2 linked regions of the Elephas maximus indicus genome follow. Each later gene encodes a partner of the first gene's protein in a complex. Links are inferred from orthologs where the notes say so. Each region holds a gene or a part of one and is shown on either strand. Other genes may lie near its edges. The genes, in order: CENPA and HJURP.

Region 1 (15,539 bases):
TTTTTACCAAATAACTGACTCTGTCTCTGTCTCTCTCTTTCTCGGCTGATGGATTTATTCCCCGGTGGCCGACGACTGCTTTGGCTCCTGCACAGATATGTGTAAGTACCTATCCTCCCCACACTGATGTCAGCCTCCCTGGAAGCCGTTCAACCCCAAAAGGCCAGCTGCAGGGACCAGGAGAGACATAGCGCTGCCAGGAAGGTGCGAGGGAAGGACTCTGGAGCTGTTTGCCACAGGGGTCGGGGGAGCCCAACATCTACTGAGCGCCTTCTAGGCCTGCTGTTGTCTGTCCTGCCTGTGTTCTTCGATTAGAAAGACCTGTTTGTTGATCCCTCATGAGGCATATAGCATTGTTCTGGCCCCTCTGTGGTGAAAGCTCAGACCACAGAGAAGCCCTGACAACAGGCATGGTGATGGAACTGGAAGATGTGTTTGGCCAAGTACATAAGCAGGATACTTATGAGGACTGAAGTCTCTGTAACATATGTGCACAGACCCTCCAAGGAAGGTGGCCAGGGGATGAGATGGACCTTAGCCTCTGTCCCAAGAAAAAAGCTTTATTCACTAGAGTTTTCCAGATAAGAGTTCACTAAAATTCAAGTTCTATTTCGCCTCTAGGACTGGGGCTCACCACACACTATCTGCCGTGGGCATGGAAGTGAGAAGCTTGACTGTATCTGAGTTGGTTCCAAGTTCCTCCTCACTTTTTCCTCTGTATACCATGCCCTATTTTGTACAAAGACTACTGTGAATTTTAATTTTTAGTAATAATGCTATATATTGGTTCCCACTTGAGTATCATAGTTATCATAAATTGACCTTAAGTCCATCCATAAACGTGCATTCATTTCACAGATTTCTTAGTTTAGAGATGCCAAGATTTAGATGGGGACCCAAGCGCTGCACTTCATTTGGCTCAAGAACCAAGAGAACTGTTTGTTCAGCCATCCATTCATTGAACATACATTGATGGAGGGCCTTCTATGTACCATGGGGAGCACTAGGGATAAAAAGACTTATGAGATACAACAAAGTCCCTACTCTCAAGACCCAGAATCTTATCCAGACATGAGATACAAAGTGGTAATACTCACTAACCCACAATATACAAAAAGAACCTGAAAATTTGTATCTGGGACTTCCAACTAGCCTCCTTGGTAAGCACCTGTGTTTCTAACTTTATAAAAGTGTGCTCTTTATAAGGCCTTGGTTACCAAAATATTAAGCACCAGTATGGAAGCTGGGAAAATACAGAACATCATTGTTAATAACATTTCATTCAAAATACAAAAGACCACCCATTGATGTATAAGGTATGTATGTATAAATACATCAATACCTATTTTAATACAAGTATATTACTATAATAAAAAAAATTTTTTTAATGTGATACATATATTATATAAAATAACTATGTAGGGTCGCTATGAGTGGGAATCGACTCGACAGCACTGGGTTTGTTTTTTTTTTGGTTTATGTATATATTTATCCATGGATAAGTGAGGGCTTACAAATTAAGAAATAAGTCATTTGTCAATGGAGGAAGTGGTGCTAAGATACCGTTTTAGTCAATGAAGTCTTAGATCTCTTAAGAAAACTTGCTGTTCACTGATTAGTGCAAAATTCTGAACTAAACATGTTTTTTTCTCTCTGTCTCTCTTTTTCTCTTTCTTTTCTCCTTGTGTGTCCTCCTCCTTGGATGTCCGGAACCAGGGGATTCAGCTAAACCTATGGTAAGAGTCACTGCCAGATATTAAATACTTGCACACAGAGACAAAGTGAAAAAATAAGATCTAATCCCGAATGGGGACTGGCCCCACAATGAGATAAGATGCAATTCATTATTCATTCATTTATTCAAATCATTACCACAGGTGAGTCACTGGGAATACTGAAAAGAATGAGAAGCCTAAGTTTTGCCCCTATAGAAGTTTCCATTTGATACCCAGGACCAGAGATATAGTAAGCTTTTAACGGATGTGTCAAACCTGAATGTCATTCCACTTATAATTCTAGATGCCTCTTTCCAGTCAAATGATGCGCCCCAGGGATGATGAGTTTTCTTCAGCCATGAAAGTAAGCTGAGCCAACTCTACAACGTTTTCCCTTGTGTATGTCTCAAATTAAGATGTATATGTTGTGTGTAGGAGTCCTTGGGTGATGCAAATGTTAAGCACTCAACTGCTAGCTGAAAGTTTGGCAGTTCAAACCCACCCAGAGGAACCTTGGAAGACAGGCCTAGTGATCTGCTGCCGAAAGGTCACAGGCTTGAAAACCCTATGGAACAGTTCTACTTTGCACATATGGGGTCGTTATGAGTCAGAATCGACTCGACTGTAACTAACAACAACAATGTTGTGTTTGGCCTCTTGCCTCCTCACTCTGGGTTACTGAGGACCTCTTCTGGACCACATCCAGACAGTTGGCAGCATTGAGTACAGGACCCTATTTAAAGGGAAATTAAAATTAGGGACCCTGTCCTCTAGGAGGAAACCCTTGTGGCTTAATGGTTAAGAGCTACGGCTGCTAACCAAAACGTCAGTAGTTTGAGTCCACCAGGCTCTCCTTGGAAACCCTACGGGGCAGTTCTACTCTGTTCTTTAGGGTCAGTATGAGTCGGAATCGACTTGATGGCAACGGGTTTGGTTTTGGTCCTCCAGCAGATTGGAAATCTAAATTGGAGGAGAGAGGAAACAATTTCACTCTGCCTAGGTATGTGGACTTAAAAGAAAGGCATACCAAGAGTATGGACTGAGATTTCCTCAATTATAAATGAAGGGGTTACATTTCCAAACCATGTTTTAGTTTTATGAAGTGCTTTCAAACTTTTAATGATACTATAAGGCATGCACCATTATCACTATTTCGCAATAAGGAACTGAGACCTAGAGAGGTAAAGCATCTTGTTCAAGTTTCCACTGGTAGCCAGCTGCTAAGTGACAGAGCTGGAATTATACCCCAAGCCTTCTGAAACCTAGTTTCCAATGCCACAAAGCTCTCTCAAGCCTGTTCTGACTCTTAAAGTTTTATAAGTGTGCTATAAAAAATATTCCTACTTTCTGGAGAAAACAAAAACAAGCAGCCCTCCTTCAATTCACCCCCACTAAGCCCACAAACAGACCTGTATGTGGATCTTTAGTCTCTCTACCTTCCTTTACCTATTAAAGGCCAGTCTTTCCTTGGGCTCTACATCTCCCATTTCTCTGTTTTTCACAGAAAAAGTTCTTGAAAGAATTGTCTTCCTTCAAGCCTCTATTTCCTCAGCTCCACTCCAATCTGGTTTCCATCTGCACTCGTCCACTTAATCTGCTCTTATCAAGGTCACCAATGACCTCTGTGAAGCAAATCCAAAGGCTGATATTCTGAGTTCATCCTTCTTGACCTCTCAACAGCAGCATTTGATACAATTGGCCACTCCTTTGTTCTTGAAACACTTTCCTGACTTCTGTGACACTATATATTCCTGGTTTCCTTCTCCAACAAACCTCTAAATATTGAGCGTCCCTTTCTCCCTAGATAATCTCATCTAATGCTATGATTTTAAAAACCATTACGTGCTAATGATTCCCAAATTTATGTCTTCAAGCCCCAAACTCTCCCCTGAGCTCCAGGCTTATATCCAACTACCTATCTGACATCTCCACTTAGACAGCTATATAATGCGCATCTTAAACATAACATGCCCCAATACTCTTGATTTCCCCTTCAATTGGTTCCTCTCCCGGCCATCTCTACCTCACTAAATGGTTACAGAACATCTACTCAAAAAAAAAAAAAAACCCAAACCCATTGCTGTTGAGTCGATTCCAAGTCACAGCAACCCTATAGTACAGAGTAGAACTGCCCCATACAGTTTCCAAGGAGTGCCTAGTGGATTTGAACTGCTGACCTTTTGGTTAGCAGCCGTAGCTCTTAACCCCTACGCCACCAGTGTTTCCAACATCTACTTATGTGAGTCAAAAACCCAGGAGTCATCCTTGCTTCTTCCCCCATCCGTATCATTGGCGAGTGCTATGGGCTCACTTCCAGAATGTATCTCAAGACCATCTTTGCCCTCCTCCACTGCCATCACCCTTTTTTTTGGGGAGGGGAGCTAGGTTACTGCCATCACCCTGTCCCAGCCTCCGTGAGCTCAGGCCTGGACAACTCCTGCTTCATTGGAGTCTCTTCCTATTCCACCCATTTGCTTTCTACCCGGCAGCCTGAGCCATCTTTTAAATGTGAACAAGATCATGTCAACTCCCCTGCCTAAAATCACTTAGTGCTTCCCAGTGCAATTAGAATAAAATTCAGTCTCCTTACCCAGACCTTAAGAAGCCAGGGTGGTTCCGTGGTAGAATTCTCACCTTCCATGCCAAGTTCAGGGCCCCTGGTGGTGCAGTGATTAAGAGCTCGGCTGCTAACCAAAATGTTGCCAGTTCAAATCCACCAGCTGCTTCTTGGAAACCCTATGGGGCAGCTCTGCTCTGTTCTAAAGGGTTGCTATGAGTCGGAATCGATTCCATGGCAACAGGTACGGGTTTGGTTTCATGCCAGGTTCAAGGAGCCTTGGCGGTGCAGTGGTCAATTGCTCTGCTGATAACTTAATGGTTGGTGGTTTGAACCCACCAGCTGCTCCGCAGGAGAAAGATGTGACAGTCAGCTTCCATAAAGACCACAGTCTTAGAAACCCTATGGGCCAGTTCTAATCTGTCCTATAGCGGCATTATGAGTCGGAATTGACTTAAGGGCAATGGCAATGGGTCTCCATGCCTGGCTTGATTCCTGACCAGTGCTCCTCAAGTGCAGCTACCGCTTACATGTTGCTATGATTCTGAACCAGTCTCAGTGAAGCTTCCAGACTAAGATAGACTAGGAAAAAAGGCCTAGCAATCTACTTCTGAAAATCAGCCATGAAAACCCTATGGATCACAACCATCCAATCCCTTTGTGCATGGGATTACAATGAGCCTGGGGCCAGTTTGGTGGCAGCTAACAATAACAACAACCCTGACCTAAAGTCCCACTCTCCTCTCCCTGGCCACCTTTCCGTTTCTGGGAACATGCTAAACTCTTATCTTTCCACTTGTAGTTCCCTCTGCCTGGTGCATCCCCCCTCCCCCCACTTCTTCTTTCACTTGCTGGCTCCTTCTTATACATTAGACTTCAGCTCGAATCTCACCTTCACAGAGACTTTCCATGGCCACCTATCTAGAGTAGACCACTACCCCTACCCCAAGTTACTCTATCCAATCACTGAGTTTATTTTCATAATATGTAATAATTTTTTCATTAGTTTATTTATTATGCTTTCCCCCTCCCACCAGAACATAAGCATTATGAGGGCAAGGACCGTGTCTGTCCAATTTGCTGCATTATCCCCACCCCCTATATCAGTGCCTGGCACATAATAGATGCTCAATAATTGTCTGTTAAGTGAATCATGAAAATTGTGCAGACAAAAGTGATACGTTCTATGTCAGTGTTGTCCAATAGAAATACAATGTAAGCCACTGCTGTAATCTTAAATTTATACTTGTTAGCTGCCCTAGAGTTGGGCCCTACTCACGTCGATCCCGTATGTTACAGAGTAGGCACATTAGAAAAGTAAAAAGATACAAATAAAATTAATTTTAATATATTTTATTTAATGCAATATATCTAAGATGTTAAGGACCCCTGGTGGTGCAGTGGTTAAAGTGCTCAGCTGCTAACCGAAAAGTCCGTGATTAGAAGCCACCAGCTGCTCTGTAGGAGAAAGATGTGGCAGTCTGCTTCCATTAAGATTTACAGCCTTGGAAACCCTATGGGGCAGTTCTGCTCTGTTCTATAGGGTGGCTGTGAGTTGGAATCCACTTGACAGCAATGACTGGTTGGGTTTGGGTTTTGGGTATCTAAGATATTATTGTTTCAACATGTAAGCGATATAACAAATTAATAATAAGATATTTGGTATTAACTTTTTGTACTAAGTGTTCAAAACTCAGTATGTATTTCACACTTACATCACTTCAGATTGAGCAACCACATTTCAAGTGCTCAAGAGCCACATGTGGCTAGTGCCTTCCATCCTGGACAGTTCAGCTCTGTGTCGTTGTTGTTTGCTGCCATCCAGGAGGCCCCTGACTCATGGGAACTCCATGTGTTACAAAGCAGAACTGTTCCATAGGGTTTTCTAGGCCATAATCTTTATGGAAAGAGCCCTGAGGGTGCAGTGGTTAAGCCTCAGCTGATAATGGAAAGGTCAGTGGCTCAAAAGATCACAGCCTTGGAAACCCTACTCTGTCCTATAGGGTCGTTATGAGTCGGAATCGACTCGACAGCCACTGATTTAGTTTGGTTTTGGTAATCTTTACAGAAACGGATTCCCCAGGCTTTTTCTTCCTCAGAGTCCCTGGGTGGGTTTGAACAGCCAACCTTTCTGTTAGCAACCAATCGCAAACCACTTGCCCCATCTAGGGCTAATAAAAATTCACTTTCCTTAGCTAAGAGAATTTATAAGAGTGCATTACCACTAGCTGGTCCTCCTCTCCACTCTTTCAATTCTCCCCCTGCTGTCTTCAGCCACACAGCTGGGGGAGAGGGGATAAACCAAAAAACCAAACCCATTGCCATTGAGTAGATTCTGACTCATAGCAACCATATAGGGCAGAGTAGAACTGCCCCATAGAGTTTTCAAGGAGCGCCTGTGGATGTGAACTGCCAACCTTTTGGTTAGCAGCTGCAGCACTTAGCCACCACACCACCAGGGTTTCCAGAGGTCGTATGGTGTCTGAGAAATGTTTTACTTAATTAGTGGGCAGCTTGTACTCTAGCTGAGAGGGCAGAATTAAATTTCTGAGTTTTAGATATTGTACCCTAATGTCCTTTCCCGTCTTCCCCACTGTCCTGTCAGAGAAATTGTGTAGTCATAGAACAAGTAATGTTAGATCTGACTTAGCAACCTAATTAAAAAAAAAGAAAAATGCATAACGAATCTGTGGCTCAGCAAAGTAACAGTGACTTTCCTGAGATTACACAGGTTCCATCAACCCCCACACCCTCACCCTCTAGTCCCCATCCACCTTCTTCTGATGAGGTCACTAATCGCCCATCCCTACATCTAGCCAAACAGGGTAACCTTTGCTCTCCAAATGACCTCCGCTGGTTTGCCTCTTCTCAGGCTGTGATCTTTGTTTGACACACCATTCCTCCGTCCCCTCAGTCCCACCTTCCCAAATCCCTCCCAATCACCATGATTCTGCTCTACCTTCTTGAGGAAGACTCCCAAATACCCTCAACCTCAATACCCTCCACCCAAGAGTTTCCCCCAATTCCCTCTTCATGGCGCGGTGTCATATCCCTCATCATTTTCATGATAATAGCTTTAGCAAATGCTTGTTCTTCCTTCTTGTCAACACTTCATCACAATTCAAACCTTCAGCAAAGGTTTGCATCACCACTTCAGTGCTTGCTGACTGCTTTAATTTTTTTCTTACGCATTATTCTGTTTCACACTCTCAAATACCTCTAGATGACTCTTATTATCCCCATTTACAGATGAGAAAACTGAAGCTTAGAGAAATTCAGTAACTTGCCTTCACACCTAGGGGCAGGTCTGACTTCCCTTACTTCAAAAGACCACACTCTTAAACACTGTAACATGTGCATAATTGAAATCACTGATTTTTTAATTAATATTTTTCCTGATTATAGTACAAGCTCAGTGTGGATCATTTAGAAAATGCAAGAAAGCAAAGTGTAGAAAATTAAATCCCCTTTTTTTCTAAGACATGAACTGAATTCATATTATCCCCTAACAGGACAAGATGGAGCCAAGGAAATTAGAAGAAGTCATTAAGTCAAAAGTGTGATCCAAGAATAGCGATGAGGCCTGCCCCGCCCGAAACTCATGGCCAGAAGCCTGGTGATCCTGGTTGTCCCCTGGGCCCTAATAGTCAATAAAGCTTATGCAGTGAAACGACTTCTGAGTCATATTTAGAGGGTGTTCACGAAAGAGTCACAGGCACAACATGGAATTGTCATATCCCAGTGGGGTCACTAGGGTTGGTGTCAGCTAGTGTGGTAACTCATTGTGTCTCCCCTCTGCACCAAGGACTTTGGCTTTGGCCAAAATTTTTTTTTAAAAAGCCCTTCTCTCTTTTTATTCCATAGCTTTTACATTTTATAACATTTAAATAGAATCTTCTTAAGCAAAGATATGCAGTACTTTTCTCACAGGTTTCCTTAAAAAGTAAAATCTGGGGAACATCTACATCGGGTGGCTAGGGAATGCCTTTTGAGCCCAGCAGTGATTAGCTCCCTCTGCCTCACTGTGAGGGATACTGTGCTGCTGCCTCAGACTGGGGAATTCCTCATGCTTCTTACTTGCTGGGTGCCATGGATGTCAATTCCCATGAGAAGGCATCCTCTGTAGAGGGAGCTTCCCCAGTAGTTATAGGCATGGCAGCTGCCTTTATTGAGCTTTTCTAATGGATCAGGGATAAGGACTATTCTTAAAAGAACAAGAGTGCATTACGTGGGTTAGTGTCACCCAGTGCAGTAACTCATAGTGTCACCCCTCACCCTGCATGGACCTCATCCTGTACCAGACCATACAGAATCCACAGTAATGTTTTTGTACTCATGCTACTTGTAAATCGTAATTCTGTATATCACTACTTCTTTTCCTTTAGTTACTACTTCATTCTCAAAAAATGTTTTGATATAGGTTCACAAATACTAATTACCACAATATTGTAGCTAAAATATCAGAAAATTTGACAAAATCGACGACTATAAAAACACTGGCAACAATGAAAACAACAGCACATCCTTGTTGCACGGTATAGACAAAACTACGTGATTCCAAGCGTCATCATAATTGGATAACAATGACAGCTCTGACCGGAGTGCATTAACCCCAAACCAAACCCATTACTCTTGAGTGGATTCTGACTCATAATGATCCTACAGGACAGAGTAGAACTGAGCCATAGGGTTTCCAAGGAGTGGCTGGTGGATTCGAACTTCCAACCTGTTGGTTAGCAGCCAAACACTTAACCACTGAGCCACCGGGGCTTCAAGAGTGCGTTTGCACGTTCAGAAAGTAAATTAGCATGGAGTTTCAGCCTTGTAGATATATTGATACATATAAGCTGGGCTTACAAAAAAGTTTTTGTTGTTATAACTACAGGGATTTTTTAAATAAAATAATAAATTTCTGCTGAAACACTGCGCAAAAATTTTATAGACAGTCATTTTGGTGTCACCTTCTCCGGCAGTGTCACCTGGTAGAGTCAGCACTTCCCACCCCTCAACCCTGCTCCCAGTGACGTCACTGCGTACTCCCTGTGGACCTCACTTTCCTCATCTTCAAATGCTAATTTACAGGGTTGATAGGGCCAAACATAAAATGTCTAAGGAAAGTAATTTTTTTTTAGAGAAACGCGTTCTACAAACGCATTTTTCAAATTGAGCTTGCTCTGTTTGAGCATCGAAGCCCTGGTGGCACAGTATTAAGGCGATTCACTGCCAACTGAACGGTTGGCGGTTTGAAACCACCAGCGGCTCTGTGGGAGAAAGATGTGGCCAACTGCTTTTTACAGATTTACAGCCTTGGAAACCCTATGGGGTGGCTACGAGTCTGAACCGACTCCACGGCAGTGAGTTCGGTTTGGGGCTTTGACCAGCGGTCACACTGAACGAGCGATCTGACTGCTCAGAGAACACCCTCACGAACGAGCCGCGGCAGGAGAAATTCCCGCCTTCTTTCACTTCGCCAAGTGTCGGTTGGTCGGTTTCACCGTCGATCCCGGCCCTCCTCCTATCACCGCCCCGCTGCGTTCCCGCCGGCCTGTGTTCTCATTGGTCCACCCCGCAGCCTTCTACGCCATGGGCGTTCCAGAGTCAGCCACTGGGAGTAGCTGAATTTGGGTTTAAAAAACGCCGGTAGTGAAGTAGCCGCAGCGAACGTTTTGAACGGGGATTCAGCGTTGTCTACCCTCCGAGCGACAGCTTCTCGGACCCACGCGGCCCTGGGCTCTCGGACGCCAGCCTTTCGCCCCCGAAGCCCGTGGAGTGGGGCCGCACGCTTGGCTCGGGGCCGAGCGCCGACCCCTCCGGCCCAGCCATGGGCCCGCGCCGCAGGCGCCGCAAGCCGGAAACCCCGCGGAGGCGCAGCCCGAGCCCGACGCCCCCGGCCCCGCGGCGGCCCTCAGGTAACCGGGCCGCGGCCCCTTTCCCTCCGAGCCGACTTGCAGCCCGTCTGTGAGGCAGGCACGGCCGGTCCGCGTCACAGACAGGGAAGGGCACTCGCGTGCCGGGCTGGAGCTGCGGTAGAGCCGGTGTCGCCCGCCTCCCGGCCCAGTGGCCTTTCTCCGCAAGGGGCCGAGCGGCCCTGCCATCGGGCAGGGGTCCCGGGAGCGGCCGAGGGGCTGGACAAGGAAAGGACTGCATTCTCTTTATTGTTTATTGAGCCCTTACCCCTAACAGCTCGGAAGAAAGGCCTGGTGATCTACTGTCCCAAAATCGGTCATTCATGGGGTTGCCATCAGCCTGAATCAACTAACTCCACGGCAACTGTTTTGAGTTTCGTTTTAACCACTAACTAACAAGGCATTGTGCTAAGCTCTTTAGGTACATTATCTCAACTGTATATTGTCCCTATTGTACCGATGAGAAAACTGAGGCCCGATGACTTGAGCAAAGTCACCCAGCTTGTTCCAGGAGATACGGGATTTTTAAAAATCTGTGTTTGTGCTTTTTAAAATTGCGTAAGTATTGGCGGCTTTCAGTAACAATTTCAAACGCAATCCTGCTCTTAGAAGGGATCTTTCCAGGGTTGTTTTCTTCAGTGAGTGGCAGTGTTGGCGCTGAGCCAAGCCCGCTAACTCCAAGAGCTCTCACTCTGTTCCCTTCCATAAGTTGTGTCCCTGGGAAGGAGGACCGAGTTGTGGTCCTCAGTTTCTGTCCTGTGGATGGGTGGCAGCAACTGCTTTACTTATCTTCTAACTCTTGTTCTATAGCCAAAAAAAAATCCAAACCTGATGCCGTCGAGTGGATTCCAACTCATAGCAACTGTTTAGCTTATAGCTAAGGGCAGGGTGAAAAATGAGTGTATTATAGGTTATATAGAGAGGCTGCAGTTGTGATTGGGGTTTTTCTTTCCTAAAACATAACCTTTGCATCCAGCCACCTTGCTGAATTCTCTTGTTCATCCTAATAGTCTTTTAGTTGCTTTAATTGAAATTTTTGAGTAGACCATTATATTGTCTACAAATAATGACTTTTATATTCCTTTTTAAGTTCTATGTGTTTTTATTTATGTTTTCTTATTGTATTAGCGAGGCCCTGAGGCTAATATCGAAATAAGAGTAGTGCTTTGGCTATCTTCGTTCCTGATTTTAACAGGAATATTATTAAGTATGATATTATCTGTTGCTTTCTTATGTAGAAGCATCCTTCCACTCCAGACTAAAAGTTTTTTCTCAAATGGGCACTGAACACTTCTGCACGGGCCCTTGGTCAGATCCTCCTCTCACCTTCTCAGAGCCTTTCTGTTACCCTTTCTACCTGTGCTTGGAATTCAAGCTCCTTGTATTTTTTCCTCCATAACTGAGATGCTTCTGGTATTGGTTATTTTGTTTGCTGAGCTTGGTTCCTTTCATGCTGTTGGCTTTCTTAAGTTGTTTGATGAGTTTTAGTCGTGTCCATCTTTACATTTTCTGTGACTGCCCTTACCTGTTTACTAAAGGCGGCCTCCAGGCACTGGATGGCTGACTGGTGCAGGGGAGGGGTGGATGCCAGTTGTTTATCTCCTGGGTCTGGGGCCACCTTCTTTCTCCTAAATGTTACTAGTCACCTGGACACTGCTCTGTTTCTTTGGTCCACATTCCCTAACCAGGGATAAAATCTCCACTGCCAGCCATTGGCTCAACTCCCAACTCATGGTAACCCCACGCACAGTAGAACGAAATGCTGCCTGTTCCTTTGCCATCCTATCATCCGTCTGGGATCTGACTGTAATTAGCTGACTTTCAGCAGTAGATCGTCAGGCTTTTCTTCTTACTCAGTCACAGTCTGGAAGCTCCATTGAAACCTGTCTAGCATCATAGCAACACGCAAGCCTCAGATGGATGGTGGCTGCCATGAGGTCCACTGGCTGGGAATTGAACCCAGGTCTCCTGTGTGGAATGTGAGAACTCTCCCACTGAACCACCGCTGCCCCCACCCACTGCCCAGCACAAGCCATCTCTGGATTGCCTTGCCTTCCCCCACTTGCTCTTCAGCTCTTCTGACAACTTTATGATTAGTTTGCCGTTTTAAAACCCTTCTATTGAACTATTTGTGGGTTCTCTTTTCTTGACTGGACCTTAAACAACATTTCAGAAGTTAATTTTGTTCTTCAAGATGTTAGTTTCTGTAGATTGTATTTTTTTTATTTTTTTATGCAAAGTTTTAAACTTATCCGAGATTTGTCCATTTTATTGGTCATTGATTTTATTTATTGAGCAACTGTACTACTTTTTTTTTTAATTAATTTTTATTGTGCTTTAAGTGGAAGTTTACAAATCAGGTCAGTCTCATACAAAAATTTACATACATCTTGCCATACACTCCTAATTGCTTTCCCTCTGTTGAGATAGCACAGTTCTTCCCTCCACTTTCTGTCCTTGTGTCCGTTCGTGTAGCTTCTGGCCCCCTATGCCCTCTCATCTCCCCTATATTTTTTGTTTATTCTTTTTCATTTATGTTGCATTACCTTTAATACTTCTTTTGCTCTAATGTTCTCTTTGTAACACATGAGTTGAATGCTTAGCTCCACTATTTAATGTTCTTGTTTTGTAATAGGTATATTTTCAGATCACATGTTTTTCTCTAGTAATACTTTCACTGTATCTCATAGGTTTTGAGGTATAGACTTTTTATTGTTGTTCATTTCTAAATTGTCTAATTTCAGTTAGATTTCCTCTTTAACATGTTATTTAGAAGAATTATTTTCTCATATTCTTGTGTTTCTAATTCCTAGTGTCAATATAGTTGGTCAGAGAATTTGGATTTTATGATTTCTACTTTGGGGGATGATTTTAAAGTTTTTTTTTTTTTTCTGGCTGGAACCAGGATTTGACCAAAGACTGTGACTCAGTGTACTGGCACTGAGCCGTGCCACTTCTGAGGTCCCAACTCAGCCACCAATGAGCCTTGACCAAGTATCTTCATCTCTCTGGGCCTCAGAATAACCAAGACAAGGAAATTGTACTAGACACTCTCTCAGATTCCTTCCAGCTCAATAGAAAACTAAAAATAACTGAGTTTCCAATCTAAGTGGGTAAGGCTTAAGAGATGCACAGTCTTGTAGGACCCAGAGGAGGGAGACTACTCATCAGTTTGGAGGGGATCAGGATTTTGGAAAGGTTTCATGGGAGAGTTGGCATTTGAGATAAACCTCAAAGGATCATTGATGCATTCACTTAGCAAATATTCGTTTGGCGCCTATCTGTTGTTTCCTAGGTACTGGGGATAATAGCAGAGAATAAAATAGACAAAAACCTCTGCTGTTGTGGAGCATAGCACTGTCTAATGATTTCACAGCTTCCCTGTCTCAGCCAGGCTGTGAGGCACTACTTATTTTCCACTGGACTTTTATGACCCAACTCTTTTGCCCAGGCGCTTCCTCTCGTCGGCGTGGCCAGTGGAGACCTCGGGTTTTGAAGGAGATCCGAAAGCTTCAGAAGAGCACAGACCTATTGCTAAGGAAGAGGCCCTTCGGCCTCCTGGTGAGCTCCAGGGAACTGTCTGCCAACCCCTATGCCACCCTACTTTCTTTAGATTTCCCAGGTATCCAGGAGCTTACTATCTCCTGCCTGAATGTTGAGGGACCTCTTTTCTAATCTGGTAGGGGATACTCTTCATCTTCTGAAAACATGAGCCCTCCAAAATTACCTTCTAATTCTTTATGGAATTAATTTCTAACCCCCAGTATCTTTGAAACTGGGCTCTTTGATTATATAAATAGAAATTCTTTCATCTACCCACCTTTTGGTTTCTTTCCCTACCCTGAGAGATGACGTCCTCATCTCCCTCCCCACCACCAATGGGAGACATATCAGTTCCTGTAGTCACTGCTACTGAGTTAGGTCCTGCCAGGAAGGAATAATGAAAATGAGAATTCATTGGAAACTCTTGGAGAGAGTCGTCTTCCTTTGAATCTCTTTTACGCTCTACTCCTCTCCCTTTCCCCTTCTCCACTCGTCCCTATCCCAACTCCTTCGCAGGCAAGAGAAGTATGTGCTTTTTTCACTCGTGGTGTGGACTTCAATTGGCAAGCCCAGGCCCTGTTGGCCCTGCAAGAGGTAAGAAAGGGCAAGGCACAGTTGGGTGAGGGGTGGGTGTGGGAAAGGAGGACTTCTTGAATTCCACATGCTTACCAGGACATAAGGAGCCCTGGTGGCACAGTGGTTAAAGTGCTTGGCTGCTAACTGAAAGGTTGGTGATTGAAACCCACCAGCCGCTCTGTGAGAGAAAGATGTGGCAGCCTGCTTCCATGAAGATTACAGCCTTGGAAACCCTATGAGGCATTTCTCTTCTGTCCTGTAGAGTCACTGTGAGTCAGGATGGCCTTGATGGCAACAAATTTTGATCAGGACATGGCTGACTAGATTGTCACAAGCTGAATCTTGTCCCCTTGAAAAGAGCAAGAAGTTAACACCCAAGATTTTGGAAGCTGGATCCTTGTTTGATGGCAGCAAAACTCCCAGGCACAGTTTAGTCTCATTCTGTGAATAACCTTTCTTACAGTCTTTGAGCCCTCAGAGACTAAGTTAGCAGGTCCTGAAGAAAAAAAGCAGTCCGTACCCCCTCATCTGTGTTAGCCTTTCTCTTTCTATTCTCAGGCGGCAGAAGCATTTCTAGTTCACCTCTTTGAGGATGCATATCTCCTCTCCTTACATGCCGGCCGCGTTACTCTTTATCCAAAGGATGTGCAACTGGCCAGGAGGATCCGAGGCATTCAGGAAGGACTCGGCTGAGCTGCACCACTGTATCTGTAAGCCTTTCCTGCCCACCCAAAGGGCGAGTGCACTTTGGAGAGAAAACATCCAGCTTCTCATCTTGGGTGGGAGTTTCTCCAAAGGAATTTCCCTTCTTCATCCTTAGTCCTGCGCTATCTTGCCTCTTCTCTAGAAAAGTCTGCAGTTGGTTTTAACTGCTTGGAACTCTGGCTCATGCCTTTTTGTACAATGTTAAATAAAGATGTTTTTCTATTAAGTAATGACTAGGACAACCTGAATCTCTGGCAGAGTAAAGCCTCTCCTTTTTACAAGGACCAGATACCTCATTTTTATTATGAGAATTTTTTCTTAATTTCAGAAATACCAGGGACTCTCTGGAGCTGTGGCCAGATCCATGGAGCCTGAGGGGCTGTCTCTGGGGCAGTATGACTGTATGGCTTTTTTTTTTTTTTTTAAGAAGGTGAAGACTACATGGTTTCCTCTGTAACAGAGGTAATATGTGAGGCACTCAACGTAGTCCCAGAGGCCTGAGAATTATTTTTAGATGAGAGACTCCAAGGATGACCT
Region 2 (15,178 bases), on another chromosome or scaffold:
CCACTGACTCTGTACTTTGCCAAGCATGATGTCCTTCTCCAGGGACTGATCCCTCCTGACAACATGTCCAAAGTAAGTAAGATGCAGTCTTGCCATTCTTGCTTCTAAGAAGCATTCTGGTTATACTTCTTCCAAGACATATTTGTTTGTTCTTTTGGCAGTCCATGGTATATTCAATATTCCCCGCCAACACCACAATTCAAAGGTGTCAACTCTTCTTCAGTCTTCCTTATTCATTGTCCAGCTTTCACATGCATATGATGCGATTGAAAATACCATGGCTTGGGTCAGGCGCACCTTAGTCTTCAAGGTGACATCTTTGCTTTTCAACACTTTAAAGAGGTTCTTTGCAGCAGACTTGCCCAATACAATGCTTCTTTTGATTTCTTGACTTCTGCTTCCATGGCTGTTGATTGTGGATCCAAATAAAATGAAATCCTTGACAACTTCAATCTTTTCTCCGTTTATCATGATGCGGCTTATTGGTTCAGTTGTGAGCATTTTTGTTTTCTTTATGTTGAGGTGTAATCCATACTGAAGGCTGTGGTCTTTGATCTTCATTAGTAAGCTCTTCAAGTGTTTTTTTTTCTTTGTTTGGAAAACCCAAACAAGTAAGGATTCCTAAAGAATCTAAACTCTGGAGATTTTATAACAATTTCAAGAAATAACTGTGACCAATGAGAGATACACAGAAGTAATTCTTATTTCTTGCAAGAAATAAGAATATTAGAAGCAACGATGAAAGTGGTTGAGTTTCAAAAGATAAAGATAGTGGAGAAAAGACGTAACACTATTAACTTAAAAATTAATTCTCAGTAAGGACTAGATGCATTAAGATTTTTGAAAAAACAGAACAAAGTGTCTTCTGTTTCTTTCAAACTCACCCCAGTAAATAATGGGAGTTAAGAAGGAATTGCAGTTGGTTAGTAAAAGAAGAAAAGGAGAAGGCAATCCTAGAATATTTCTAAGGAAGGTGACTTTTTAAAAAAAAGGATTTATCTCACCACCCAGCGGTGCCATGGAAGAAAGCCCTGGCAATCTGCTTCCATGAGGACTATAGCCACAAAAATCCTATGAAACTCAGTTTTAGTCTGTAACACATGGGGTCACCCAGAGTTGGAATCGACTCAACAGCAATGGGTTTGGTTTTTTGCTTTGTTTCATTTTCTTTATATTTATTAAAAACCTCTTTGAATGTTATTCACACATAACAGAAGAGCCAATCTTTGAATGCTCGGGAGAAAGATGTTCTAAGAGTTTTCAGATCCATAAATAATGGGGTTGATTTAAAATAGGTCATCCAAATTGATCTAATTGCTTTCTATTTTTAAGGTAAATTATTTTCATTGATTTTTAAAATGGATAGCCCATTAAAACACATTAATCATGACCCTAAAAGTGTATCGGTATTACAGAAAGCCAAAGGTGAAGAATAAAAAGCAATTTCTCACCACATGAAACTGAGGCAAAACACGACCAACGAGAGCTGTAGCCCTACTTTCCCAGGAAAAACATTTCTGGGTGAAAGCTGGAAGGTGAGACATCATTAAGATAATATGTTGTGCAGCAGTGTGACAGCACCTGTAGAATATTTGAAGCCATGTGTGTCTTATTTGGATAAATGGTCTCTAATTTTGAAGGCCAAGTTGAAAACCAGGGCTTTGAACTGGTTTTCCCCGGTTCAGTCATGGCTAACTAAGGAATTGAAACTGGAACAGACCCAAATTTTCAAAATTTGGGTGAACTGAAATGATAATCAGAGCTGGAAAATTTACTGGTTGAAGCCCTGTTGGAAACTTAATCTCCGTCTTAGAAAACAGAGGCAGCATATGTGTTGCATAGCAACCAAATCTCTTGCCCATTGGATTTCAAGCAGAGTTGGAAACAGTGGTGCCCTGCTCAAAGATGGCGCTTTGAATGTCTGTCTCTCTCCACAGTCCTGCCAGTAATGCAGCCTCACACATCAGGCTCCCGAAAGGGCTCACTACACCTCTTTTGAGTTTCCCATTCCAGGGCTGAAACCTATAACTTTTCCCATTCTGGATTACCCAAATTTTAAAAATTCAGATCTGTTCCAGTCTTACTTCGTCAATCATGACCGAACTGGTTTGAACCAGTTCAAAGCCCTGGTAGAAACATATGATTGGTTTTGCTGTGTTTTTATTACATGAGTAACGTTGTTAATAGGAGCCCTGGCGGCACAGTAGCTAAGAGCTCAGCTGCTAACTAAAAAGTCAGCCGTTTGAAATCACCAGCCGCTCCTTGAAAACCCTATGAGGCAGTGCTCTGTCCTACAGGGTCACTATGAGTCAGAATAAACTTGACAGCACACAACTACAACAACAATGTTGTTGTTGGAGCCCTGGTGATGCAGTGGTTAAGTGCTCAGCTGCTAACCAAAAGGATGGCTGTTTGAATCCACCATACACTCCTTGGAAACCCTATGGGGCAATTTTACTCTGTCCTATAGGGTCACTATAAGTCTGAATCAACTTGATGGCAAGTTTTGGTTTTTTGCTTTAATGTTGTTATCGTTATTAGCTGCTGTTGAGTCAGCCCCCAACTCATGATGACCCCATGCACACCTGAACGGAACACTACCTGGCCCTGCGCCATCCCCATGATGGGTTGTGGATCGAAATGGTGTGATCCATAGGGTTCTCACTGGATGATTTTCAGAAGCAGATCACCAGGCCTTCTCCCTAACCTGTCTTAGTCTGGAAGTCAATGAAACCTGTTCAGTTTTATAGCAACAAACAAGCCTCCGCTGACACACAGGTGGGGGCTACACATGACAGGCATTGGCGGGGAATCAAACAGGTCTCTGCATGCAAGGTGAAAATTATACATGTTCTTAATTACACAACACATGCTCATTCTAGAAAATGCAACTACGGAAAACTAATATCAAAAACAATCCATAATACTATCATCAAGAGATAAACTTGGAAACAATTTGATAAATGCATACTCGAATTTTCAAAATATATGATGTGTATTTTTCAGATGCAGATGTATAATACATATACTTACAACCCCCTTTTATACACAAAAAAATCATATACACTTTACCAGTTGATGTCTAGTCGATTCCAACTCACAATAACACCATGTGTGTCAGAGTAGAACTGGCTGATTTTTTTAGTAGATTCTCAGGCCTTTCTTCCGAGGCACCGCTGGGTGAACTTAACCTCCAACTTTTCGGTTAACAGCTGAGCGCATTAACCCTTTGTACCACCCATATATTTCAGATGCCAGTAGTAGTTTTTCAAAATTATGGTTAATGGAAACATAAATACATTTCTATCACAATTTATTTAACCACCCTTCTAGTATTGGACTTTATAAAATGTGTTTCATTAAAGATCCCACAGCTAAAACCTTGCTGAGGTTCTTACTTACTTAGGATTGATTTCAAAAAATAGACTTACTAAATCAAAGAATGGTCACGTCTGAAGACTGTTTTACACGTACCACCAAATTGACCTCCATAAATATTTTACAAACTAATGCTTTCCCAAAGTATAAGAGAATATTCACTTCTTCACACCCTAACCAATATTCCTTGTTCTAGGTGACACAGTGGTGAAGAGCTCAGGCTGCTAACCAAAAGTCAGCGGTTTGAATCTACCAGCTGATCCTTGGGAAACCTACAGGGCAGTTCTACTGTGTCCTACACGCCGCAATGAGTCAGAATCGACTCAACGGCACACAACAACAACAATTGATAGTTTTAAAATTGTGATTCATGACTTTTGATTTAGAGGTGGAACATTTCGTATGTTTTGTATTTCATCTTTTGTTGATTGCTGACTCATGAACTTTGCCCTCTTCTCTATTGGGGTTTTCATGTTCCTCTTTACGTGTTTATATTATTAGCTCTGAAATATATAATTGAACTACTTTTTCTGTTCTATTGTTATCCCATTAAAGTTGTCATAGGTATTTTTTCTCATAAAATTTTTCAGTTTTATATATTCACAGACTTAAAAATATTTTTTTATGTTTTTTGCCTTTGGTGTCTGTGGTGAAATCCATTCCTCTATGCAGCCTTTTCCTTGGTTTTTTGGGAAAGCAGCTTGAGAGATCTTCCCCCTAAGCCCTGAGAAGTTACCTTTGTGCTAGTTTTCTACCCCAGAGGATTTGTTACATTTCCTGGGTAAGCAGTAAACAACTTGGTTTGATACTTTTTGTCTGTTCCTGGGCTGTGGTCTGTCTGCCTTATGATTGGTATGCACCTTGCAGGGACTGGTCAATAGACTAGGCAAATCAAGTGAATATGGAGTATGTAAATGAGGTGACTATAGTCTACTATGCAAATGAAGTGTCTATGGCCTACCCATGATTGATTGGTCAGTTTGTGCCCCCGCCTTGAAATTGACAAGGAGTTGTGTGGGTGGTGGGTATATATGCAGCCAACCCCACAAAGACAAAAAGAAACAAGAAGACAGTAAGCAAGAGGAAGTAGAGAGGAGAAAAACGAGAGAAGAGAGATGAAGCAGAGAGAGGGAAGTCAAAGAACCTCCTAAAAGAGCTGTAACATGGGTCGAGGGCTGTAACTCTGAAGACAGCAACACCAATGAGAAGGAGAAAAGAAAAACAAGAATTTTCAAACAGCTCTGCTTTTGTGAGCTTTGGCTGACACCTCATGGAAAGTCAGCTCTTTGCCAGCAATCTCACAGCTTCTCTGCATCAGCCTCAGAGCAATAGAAGACAGCAAAACCTTTACTTAGCAGCCTAACAAGTGGGGCTAACATAGTTCATTCAGACGTTTTTGCTGATACATAGTCGTTTCTATGTCAACGCTGGGACCACCCAAAACCAACCAGAGACTGATGATGACATTTCCACACCTTTCCATCACAATATCATTTACATGTCAACTCTATGCAGAATAAATTCCCATCGAGGTCAACAATTTGGATTCCACCAGGCGCTCCGTGGAAACCCTGTGGGGCCGTTCTGCTCTGTCCCATAGGAACTCTATGAGTTGGAATCAACTCGACGGCAATGAATTTGTTTGTTTGTTTTGAGCAAAATTCAGGCACATTTTATGAGAGTAGCTATAAAAAAAATCCGATGAAAATTATTTCCTGTCTACATAATTGTGAACAGATCTTTGAGGGTGAAAGTTCCAACAAGGCCAGCAGAGGGTGCTGTGCAAGGGATCCTGCATCTCTACTGCCTAAGGAAGCCTGTGAGCCCCCCAGGGGCTGCACCCAGCCACTTCCCATGCCACTTGCCCTGCCAAGGAAGGAGCTGAGTTGTAATGCTTCCCTGTTTCATGGAGATGGGGAGTGGTGAGGAAGCAGTTTTGTAGCAGTTCTGGGTTCCTGAGGTCACATGCTTAGGCTGTTACCGGTGGATGGAGGTTGTAGGAAAATGACCTCAAATTAGGAGCGTGATGCAGGGTTCCTCCCTCCTCAGCTGGGCTGCCACTTTGGCCAGGGGCTGGCCAGACAGAGACAATGCATGCTAAGGCTGGCTCAAGGGGGGACTGGCAAAGCAGAATTTTGGGGGTCTTTTTTTTTCTCAGTTAAAGATTTCGAAGCTGTCAACTAACAGGTTTTTGTCAAGCAGACTAGCGAATTGAAGTCAGCCAGACGCAGGGTTGTAAGAACAGAAAGGTGCCGGGGGCCAGCCTCAGCAATGAACAGGGTTACCAGAGGAGGGGTAGAGTTCGGCGAAAAAAAGAATGAGAGGTAGTGTGTCTTATATTTTCATTTCTGCAGAAAAAGAAGCCCTTCTGCTCTTTATTTTTTACATGGTCTTTTATATCATAAGCTTACAAAAGCATAACATCGCATGATCAATAAAGGGGCAGTACAAGATATAATCATAAACATCATTTCCCAGAGACATAATTTTCCAAGTGACACATAGTACAGTTCCGCATACACACACAAGTACAATGAATTTTTGTTTAATTGAAGAGAATATTTTGTTGATATATTTTTACACAAAGTAACAATTGACTTCATACTGCTTTACACTTTATGCTTAATCTTGCAATTCCTTCCACAGTTTTTATAATAATTAATCTTTTTGCAAAAACCATTGCCACATAGGCTTTGTCCATTTTGTCCAGGGTGGCCAAATTTTTGAAGTCCAGCCACTTTGGGTTACGTCATATTGTCCACGATTATGCCAAGGACAATTAGCCCAATCTCTATACCCAAAGACCAGTCAAGAGCAGCAGTGAGCGGGGTAGACGAGAAGGTTGACCTGTAATTGGCTGAGAAATTGGCTGAGAGAACTCACTGCCTTTTGTTTTTCCACTTTTATGGGGTCATGTGTGGGTGGTGGTTTAATCACAAAAGGGCCTTGGTAAATACCAGGATTTCACCATCCTATTCTTATTTTCCATAGTCGAGCTATTTGTTTTTCCCCTAAGACAACTTCATGTTGATCCCCAAGTAACACACGGGCTGTCCCTACCCGAGATTTCACCAGGGGATTATGAGTAGGACGCCCCCCGTCCAAAGGTCCCTAAATCTATAATGGAATTTTATGCTTATACATTCTGCTATACACAGGCTGAAAATGAAATAGAAACATAACACAGATGACAGAGATATTCCTGACTTTTCAGGAATTCTTCGATGTTTATGCTAGGGGCAGTGGGTGCAGAGGGGCCGCCCTTGCAGCCTGGCTCTTCCTGACTTTTCAGGAATTCTTCAATGTTTATGCTGGGGGCAGTGGGTGCAGAGGGGCTGCCCTTGCAGCCTGGCTCCTCCTGACTTTTCAGGGATTCTTTGATGTTTATGCTGGGGGCAGTGGGTGCAGAGGGGCTGCCCTTGCAGCCTGGCTCCTCCTGACTTTTCAGGGATTCTTTGATGTTTATGCTGGGGGCAGTGGGTGCAGAGGGGCCGCCCTTGCAGCCTGGCTCCCAGCAGAAAGGTTTACCCAGTTTGCAAACTGGGAGGCACGCAGGGTCTCTGACCTAAGGCTGCCAGCTCCCTGAATCAGGGCAGATTTGCTCCTTTTATGCGGAGTGGCGTTCATATGCATGAACAGTGAAGGGAGGATCTTCAGTCTTGTGATGCACGCACAGTCCGCAAAATTTTAGTGAATGGGTTTTTGAACATGGCTCTAAAAATACTGCCCACAGCCCTGAAAAAATGACAACGGCTCGCTCTTGCCACCCCAGGAAGGTCAGAAAGCGGGTAGGTTCAGAGTCAGTGTGCCTGTGCTTTGGTCTCCTGCCAGGATAAACAAGAAAATTGTAACAAAAACGGAGCAAGAGTAGACTTTTTTGAAAAACAACTATTATGGGATGGTTAATAACCTTTTCATGACGGCCTGCTTCAATTTTACCTTGAGAACTCTCTCTACCGAAGCAGCCCATGAGCCCGTGGAACAGAGGCAGATTCCTGGGATAGTCAGTGAAGCCAGCCAGGAATGCCCTGGAGCAGAAACCCCAGCAGTGTCCCAGGACCGGGGACCAAGTCCTAGGAGAGGCAAGTTTTGAAATGGGGTGCTATTACGTGGGTAGAGGGTCACAGAAGAGAAGGCTGTCCAAGGCTTAGAGGAGAAGCAAAAGAAAACCTTGCAACATTTTGTTCTGTTATCATAGGGTCGCCAGAGCCAAATCTACAGCACGTAACCCTGGTGGCATAGTGATTAAGAGCTACAGCCACTAACCAAAAGGTCACCAGTTCGAATCCACCAGGTGCTTCTTGGAAACCCTACGGGGCAGCTCTTCTCTGCCCTACAGGGTCGCTGTGAGTCGGATATGCTTATATAAGCATAGAGAAAGGTTGAACCAATCTTAATGAAATTACTAGCTCAGGTGGGAAACTAGAGGGGGGCTGTAATTTTTACTTTCTCTGTGTTGTTTTGGAAACCCTGGTGGCATAGTGGTTAAGAGCTATGGCTGCTAACCAAAAGGTCGATAGCTCGAATCCCCCAGACACTCCTTGGAAACTGGTGCAGTTCCTCTCTGTCCTGCAGGGTCGCTGTGAGTTGGAATTGACTTGATGCCAACAGGTGTGTGGTGCTGTGTTGTTTTAAATAATCTATGCTGAAGATGCGTTATCAGAAAAGAACCACCAAGACATTCCCATCTAAAAGAGAAAGACTGAAAAAGACTGCTCTGGTAGCAGAGAAAGGCACCAGAACCTGGATGTCAGAGAGGAGGCAGAACAGATTTATCACCAGGCTAGTCGTTGACAGAGCGGATTCCATCTCATGGCGACCCCATGTGGTAGAGTATAACTGCTCCATAGGGGTTTCTTGGTTCGTGACCTTTCTTTCACTGAGCCACTGAGTCAGCTCGAACCTCCAAACTTCAGATTAGCAGCCAACTGCAACTGCAGGCACCACCCGGGCTCTATGGGTTAATAATACATAGCTCAAAGAGCTGCCGTTGAATTGTTAATTAATAGGCGCAGAACGGCAGGAAGAGCTCCCCCGCGGCACTCCCCCGCCCGCACCCACCTCCGTGCCTTTCCTATAATCCCGCGCCACCGGATGGGGCGGGGCCGGGGACTCAGGGGCGGATTGGCCGGCAGGAAGTCGCGTGTATACGTTTGAAAGGCCCAATCAGCGCCCGCCTCACAGCACCAGCCAATAGGAAGCCAGAGAATGGCAGGAGGGCGGGAGCAGCGTATTTGAACGGCGGCGGGAGCGGCTCTCCGGGCGGCCCGGACTCGCGGCGGCAGCCTGTGCGCCATGGCGGCCGAGGGCTGCGAGGAGGCCGAGCTGACGCGGAAGCTCCAGGACAGCCGCCATCGCTTCCAGAGGCGCATGCAGCAGCTGATAGAGAAGGTACGGCCCTCAGCTCCGGCTGGAAGGGGTGGCCAGGCGCAAGGCTAGCGGGACTAGGGTGGGGGAGTCGGGGGCTGGGGTGCAGGGACCTGGGTGCAGGGAGGGCGCGGGGAGACGGGACCCGGCTATGCGAAGGGGGAAGGCAGGTCCGGGACCGGGTGCAGGGAGGGTGCGGAGAGGGGGGAGCCGGGCCGGGAACCGGGTGCAGGGAGGGTGCGGAGAGGGGGGAGCCAGGCCGGGAACCGGGTGCAGGGAGGGTGCGGAGAGGGGGGAGCCGGGCCGGGAACGGGGTGCGGGGAGGGTGCGGAGAGGGGGGACCCGGGCCGGGAACCGGGTGCGGGGAGGGTGCGGAGAGGGGGGAGCCAGGCCGGGAACCGGGTGCAGGGAGGGTGCTGAGAGGGGGGAGCCGGGCCGGGAACGGGGTGCGGGGAGGGTGCAGGGAGGCAGGGATGTGGACTGAGGGGATGTAGAAAAACCGCCCAGCTATTCAGTAACTGTGAACTAACTGGGGGTGGGCGGAGAGGTTGCCTGGAGGTCTGACCTAGTGGGACGCCCCGTCCCCTGCAGTACAACCATCCCTTCGAGGACACGGTGCTGGTGGAGATGGCCACACTGACCTACCAGACGCCCCAAGGTAGGAGTTAACTCTCATTTCGGTTTAAAATGTGAATAGCGTCTTGTAGAGTTTTGAAATCCTGGCCGTGCTTTTATGAAAATAAACCTTGTTCATCTGACTAGAAATGAATTCCTGAAGACATAGATGGTTAAGAATGCACCTGCCTGGGTTGGCATCACAGCTCACACTTATGCTCCTGTCATCGTGGGAGAGTTGCTTAGCGTGGCTGAGGCTCAGTTTCCTCATCTGTAAAATAGGTATTGTAACAGTTAGGGTCCTGGTGAAGCCCTTAGGACAGTACCTGTGCCCTCCAGCACTTACGTTGACTGTCATTTGTCTTGTTTGACTTTGAATATTAACTGTTCTCCTTGAGGTTCTGATAACTTGAAACTTAATCCCAGTATGGGAAAGGAGCCATTCTGTTTAGCGATGGTGTTGCAAACTGATCTAAGTCAGTGCATTGCCCGCTGCCCGTTGATTCTCTGCTGTGAATGAGGTCAGTTCCTCTCTTCTCACTACTCCTTACTACTAACTCACCACCAAAGATGTTGTCGTTAGGTGCCGTTGAGTCACTTCCGACTCATAGCGACCCTATGTACAACAGAACAAAACACTGCCCAGTCCTGCACCATCCTCGCAATCGTTACTATGTTTGAGCCCATTGCTTCAGCCACTGTGTCAACCCTACTTGAGGTTCCTCTTCTCTTTTGCTGACCCTCTACTTTACCAAGCATGATGTGCTTCTCCACGGACTGATTTCTTCCTGAATCCAAGCAAGCGAGACAAAGTCTCATCATCCTCACTTCCAAGGAGCTCTCTGGCTATACTTCTTCTGAGACAGACTTCTGGCGGTCCATGGTATATTCAGTATTCCTTGCCAACACCATAATTCAGAGGCGTCAATTCTTCTTCTGTTTTCCTTATTCATTGTCCAGCTTTCACATGCATATGAGGCGATTGAAAACACCATGGCTTGGGTCAGGTGCACCTTAGTCCTCAAGTGACATCGTTGCTTTTTAACACCTTAAAGAGGTCTTTTGCAGGAGATTTGCCCAATGCAAATCTTTCTTGACTGCTGCTTGCATGGGCATTGATAATAAAAGAAAGGTAATGATGATGAAAGCGGATCTCAGATCCTGCTGCACGTTAAACAAGCAGGCACAAAACGGTTCATAAGACCTGCTCCTTAAGCGAAGTCCTAACTCTGTGGCTTTTTAGCTGATCTGTCCACACCTCGCTTGCGTACGTACAGTGAACTCGGTGAGTGCTTGTCTCTGAAGATGTTAGGAGCGCCAAAGAGTGTGTGGAAGTGGGTTGCTGTGAACACTAAAAAAAGGAGTATACTTGGTGTGGGTCAAAGGACTAGAATTGGCCATTTGTCACTCGTTTCAGAAAACAGGGAGGCCCTGGTGACTCCCTGGTGGCACGCAGTGGTTAAGAGTGTGGCTGCTAACCAGAAGATCTAAGTTGAAATCCACCAGCTGTTCCTTGGAAACCCTATGAGGCAGTTCTGCTCTCTGGTGTAGCGTTGCTGTGAGTCGGAATCAACCGACAGCAGTGGGTTTTGGTTTTTCTGGTTTCAAAAAATAGCTGAAATTCTCAAGCAGTCAGGGCGCCCTTTTGTTTTCTAAAATAGACCAGCAACCCTGAAACATGTGCAACTGAGTAGGGACTACACATGCCACACGCCCCCACACTAAGCCACAGGAAGGAGGAGCATGGTACAGTCAGTCATGCATGATCATTGATTGGATTGAGGGTAACTATACACTAAGACACCTTCATGCGTATTCATTGAGGCCCCAATTACTAAGGGACCCTGAACATTGGAGATCCTCTCTGGGGGCATCCTGTAGTGGGGAGAACATCCACATTGGCATCTGAGTGTAGGGAGGGTGAGGGGAGGGGATGGCCCAATCAGCACCCCACCTCACAGCACCAGCCAGTAGAAAGCATGCTGTGCATGGCAAGGTTTGTGTGGCTCGTCCCAGACCTTGCCAGATGTATCTCTTACCAGGTGTCCTTTCTAATTATATGTGTAGGTAGAAGGAGCCCTGGTGGGACAGTGGTTAGGGCTTGGCTGCTAACCAAAAGAACCCACCAGCTACTCTACGGAAGAAAAATGTGGCAGTCTGCTTCCATAAAGATTTACAGCCTTGGAAACCCTGTGGGGCAGTTCTACTCTGTCCTGTAGGGTCACTGTGAGTTGGAAACAGCTCCACAGGTTTGGTTTTTCTCTTTAGTGTAGGTAGACTCCATGAGTTCTGTGAGTTATTCTAGTGAATGACAGAACCCACCAGGGGCAGAGAGAGAAAACACACCATGTGAGTGGCTGGTGTCAGGGATGGAGAAGTACAGGGATATGAGAAGGTTTCACATGTTAGAAATTAGCCTCATGCCAATTATTGACACACTTGGGGAGCACTTAGAGCTGGGATGTGGCAAGCACTATGAGTGTTTGCTGCCACTGGTAGCATTAACAAGCATCTCCAGCCTCAGCAGCCACATCATCCCTCCTCAGTAACTTGAACTCACCTGGGAACAAATGGGGGTTTAAGGAGAGATTAAGTATATTGCCCAGGTTCTGCTAGCAACTGAGTGGCGGGACTATGTGTGCCTGATTCCAAAACTCACTGTTTACCCTGTGCTTAGGGCTTGCTCTGTACATATAGAGATGGTCCTCCAAAAGCCCCTACTCTGTAGATACAGTACATATACATTGCCGTATTGTGTGTGTGTGTGTAACACACACATACAGATTGTCCTCTATATATTTTGAGGGCAGTACCCGGCATGTGTTTCTTGTTTTCATTTAACTTTGGGGGTCAGTGATGTAGTTTGAAGAGTTGCTGTCTATTAGATAGGAGAGATTTTCATTAATGACAAATTTTTATCCAGGCTTCATTAAAAAAAAAAAAAAAGTTCAAGCTCACAAGGATGAACAGCAACAGAGTGTCAGCAGTCAGGCTTGGTTTTAAGATCCCTTTCTTTTGCTCATCACTGGTTTCCTTTCAATGCAGGTTGAATAGAAATTCAGCATTTAGGATTACTGACATGGTGATTTTTATTTTTTTTCTTAAGGATTGAGACTGTGGGGTGGAGGACTGATACAGGAAAGAAGCAAAGGACAAATCCAGGTATTCAATGTCAAGTCTGATCACCAACGTGCCTTGCTGTTGATGCGAATGCAACGTGAGCCGTGGTGTGAATGTTGATGTGAATGTGGCATGAGCTGCAACCCCCGCTACTCTGCACCGGAAGCTTCCAGAACTCTGTGCAGGGCCTCCAGTTTGTTTCATGGTGGTATCCTCACCTTGACTCCTCTATTTTTTCTTTTTTTTTCCTGTTTTCAATGACTTACTAAGAAGCATTTCTTCTGCTGCTTGTTGAGTACAAGGAGGACCTGTATAGTTTTAAAGCCCACTATGTAACCTGGTGTTTGCTCTGCCATAGGCCGGTCGGGTTAATTGGATCCCACTTCTGACATTCATTATGATTATTAGCGGGGCCACTGGTGTAGCTCAAGCTCTAGGGAGCAGAGTGTCATGGCCTCCTCGAGGGCAGACGGCTGACCAGCTATGATGTGAGCTCCTGATGGGGACAACTAACTGCTCCATGCGTGTTGGTTACATGCCCCCTGGCTCCATATGCACAGGGTCACGCTGCCTATGCCTTTCCGAGTCATCTAGTGCTACTATAACAGAAATACCACAAGTGGGTTGCTTTAACAAGCAGAAATTTATTTCTCCACAGTAAAGTAGGCTGAAAGTCCAAATTCAGGGCGTCAGCTCAAGGGGAAGGCTTTCTCTGTTGGCCTTCTTGTTAACCTTCCCCTGGACTAGGAGCTTCTCCACACAAGGACCCCAGGTCCAAAGGACATGCTCTGCTCCCGGCACTGCTTTATTGATGGTATGAGGTACCCCACTCTCTGCTTCCTTTCATCTCTCTTTTTTTTTTTTTAATTTTTATTGTGCTTTAAGTGAAAATTTACAAATCAAGTCAGTCTCTCACACAAAAACTTATATACACCTTGCTACATACTCCAAGTTACTCTTCCCCTAATGAGACAGACTGCTCCCTCCCTCCACTCTCTTTTCGTGTCCATTTTGCCAGCTTCTAACCCACTCTACCCTCTCATCTCCCCTCCAGGGAGGAGGTGCCAAGTAGTCTCAACCTTTTATCTCTCATAAGACAAAAGGAGGTGCAGGCCACACCCAGAGGAAACTCCCTTTACCTTGGATCAGGGAGGTGACCTTAGCATGGGTGTTATAATCCCACCTTAATCCTCGTTAACATAAAATTACAATCACAAAAGGGAGGACAGTCACAGAATACTGGAAATTATGGCCCAGCCAAATTGATAACCTTTTCTGGGGGACATAGTTCAATCCGTGACAGTGCTGATTCCCATTTAGGGAGTGGGACTTAACCCTTATGTCAGAGAAGGCCTCTTAGAAGCCTTTTGAATATTTCCAGATGCTGCCTGGTGACCCCTGGGCTCTGCATGCTGCAGCCCTTGTCAGCTGTATGTGCGTGGGCCAGGGTTAGCTTGGGTGTGCGGGCAGAGGCCCTTCGCGGGTGTCTTTGCTTCTCACCCTCCCAGCTCCATCGCTCACTTGCTGAGCAGCACAAGGAGAGGACGAAAGTGCTGCTTCTCCTGAGGGGCGTCTGGGGCTCCTGGTCGGGCATGGAGGCCTGTTACAGCGGGGTGTGTGAGAAGAGAAGCTGGTGGAATATCCAACCTCACGTCTGCTTGTGGAGAGATTGTAGGCTTAAGACTTTACAGCAGCCTGGTAGCATCTCATTACCGAAACGAGCACGTCTTCATTTTCTTCTGCAGGTTGAGGGATCCCCTGTGACGCCGGTCAGCTGGGTGGACAGCCCCGGGCGAGCTGTGTCTGAAGGTCAGTGAGCACCCTCGCACTGTGGGTGAACCCTGACTTGAGTGCGTGTGCCTTGGTGTACGTGTGAGTGGAATGTTTGCAGTGAAGCTGAGGTGGAAAAAAAAAGGGATTGTAAATTCTTGGTGCCTCGTTCTTAATTTTTTATTGAGATTTGCTTTTAAAACTTGAGACATTCTTACATGCCCTTTTACCTGCTTGTAAAGCCCGTGGAGCACAAGGAGCTGTGTCCTGCTCACAGTCTCATCCACGGTACTTGACACATAAAAGGACTCAGATATTTCTTGAATGAATGAATAACTCCCTACCTTTTTTTTTTTTTTTTTTTTAATTTTTTGCCTAGAAAATAAAAAGTTAAAATTTTAATAAGAGTTAAGAATTGCCTTTATGGGGTAGTCCTCCCACCGCTAACTGCCCGCCCCTGCAACCCTCTTTCCTTCCTTCTCATTCTTATCGAGGTTTCTTTCCCCTTCTCTCAGTTCTCTCAAACAGTTGTGTTGCCTAGACCCTGCCGCAGCCTGGTTTCTCAGGAATCCGTCCACTGCCCACTCTCCCCTGCCCTGGGGGCAGCCTGGCAGTAAAACAGAACGTGACAGTCTCCTCATCCCGTGTCCCATCTGAATTGCCTCTCTCTGTTCTACCCCCTCACAGCCAGGTTTCCTAAAGGGTGATGGCGTTCACTGCTTGGAACATTCTCCCGCCCCACAGGCTCCTCACCCGGCTGCATCTGGCCTCAGCCCCTGTCCCTGAGTGTGGTGTTGGTGAGGTTCCTGACCACCGTGCTGCCCAGTCTGTTTGGCATTCTTTGGTTCTTATCCTCGTTGCCCTCAGTAGCATCCGACACTTCTCCTTGACACTCACTGGGGCACCAGCTTCAGTGGTGCTGTGTTCT

Evidence for each region.
Region 2: the proteins of CENPA (region 1) and HJURP are in contact, whole or in part, in a crystal structure (PDB 3R45), measured with the Homo sapiens proteins. The link is inferred for Elephas maximus indicus from reciprocal best matches to the Homo sapiens genes CENPA and HJURP. Residues at the interface, in NP_001800.1 of Homo sapiens: Lys64, Leu65, Ser68, Arg69, Arg72, Asp83, Phe84, Asn85, Trp86, Gln87, Ala88, Gln89, Leu91, Leu92, Ala93, Glu96, Ala97, Ala100, Phe101, His104, Glu107, Asp108, Leu111, Leu112, Leu114, His115, Ile132, Glu136; in NP_060880.3 of Homo sapiens: Glu14, Asp15, Leu18, Lys21, Leu22, Ser25, Arg26, Arg28, Phe29, Arg32, Met33, Leu36, Lys39, Tyr40, Pro43, Phe44, Thr47, Pro48, Val49, Val50, Gln51, Met52, Ala53, Thr54, Leu55, Ile65, Trp66, Gly67.

What each region holds. Positions count from the first base shown.
Region 1 is NC_064830.1:45,046,817-45,062,355, forward strand, and holds the start of CENPA (histone H3-like centromeric protein A), read left to right. Parts: upstream 1-9,892; 5' UTR 9,893-10,093; coding exon 10,094-10,181; intron 10,182-13,629; coding exon 13,630-13,739; intron 13,740-14,237; coding exon 14,238-14,315; intron 14,316-14,855; coding exon 14,856-14,990; 3' UTR 14,991-15,539. UniProt on the Homo sapiens protein: Histone H3-like nucleosomal protein that is specifically found in centromeric nucleosomes. Replaces conventional H3 in the nucleosome core of centromeric chromatin that serves as an assembly site for the inner kinetochore.
Region 2 is NC_064824.1:136,092,541-136,107,718, reverse strand, and holds the start of HJURP (Holliday junction recognition protein), read left to right. Parts: upstream 1-8,649; 5' UTR 8,650-8,673; coding exon 8,674-8,769; intron 8,770-9,336; coding exon 9,337-9,403; intron 9,404-12,466; coding exon 12,467-12,522; intron 12,523-14,225; coding exon 14,226-14,289; intron 14,290-15,178. UniProt on the Homo sapiens protein: Centromeric protein that plays a central role in the incorporation and maintenance of histone H3-like variant CENPA at centromeres.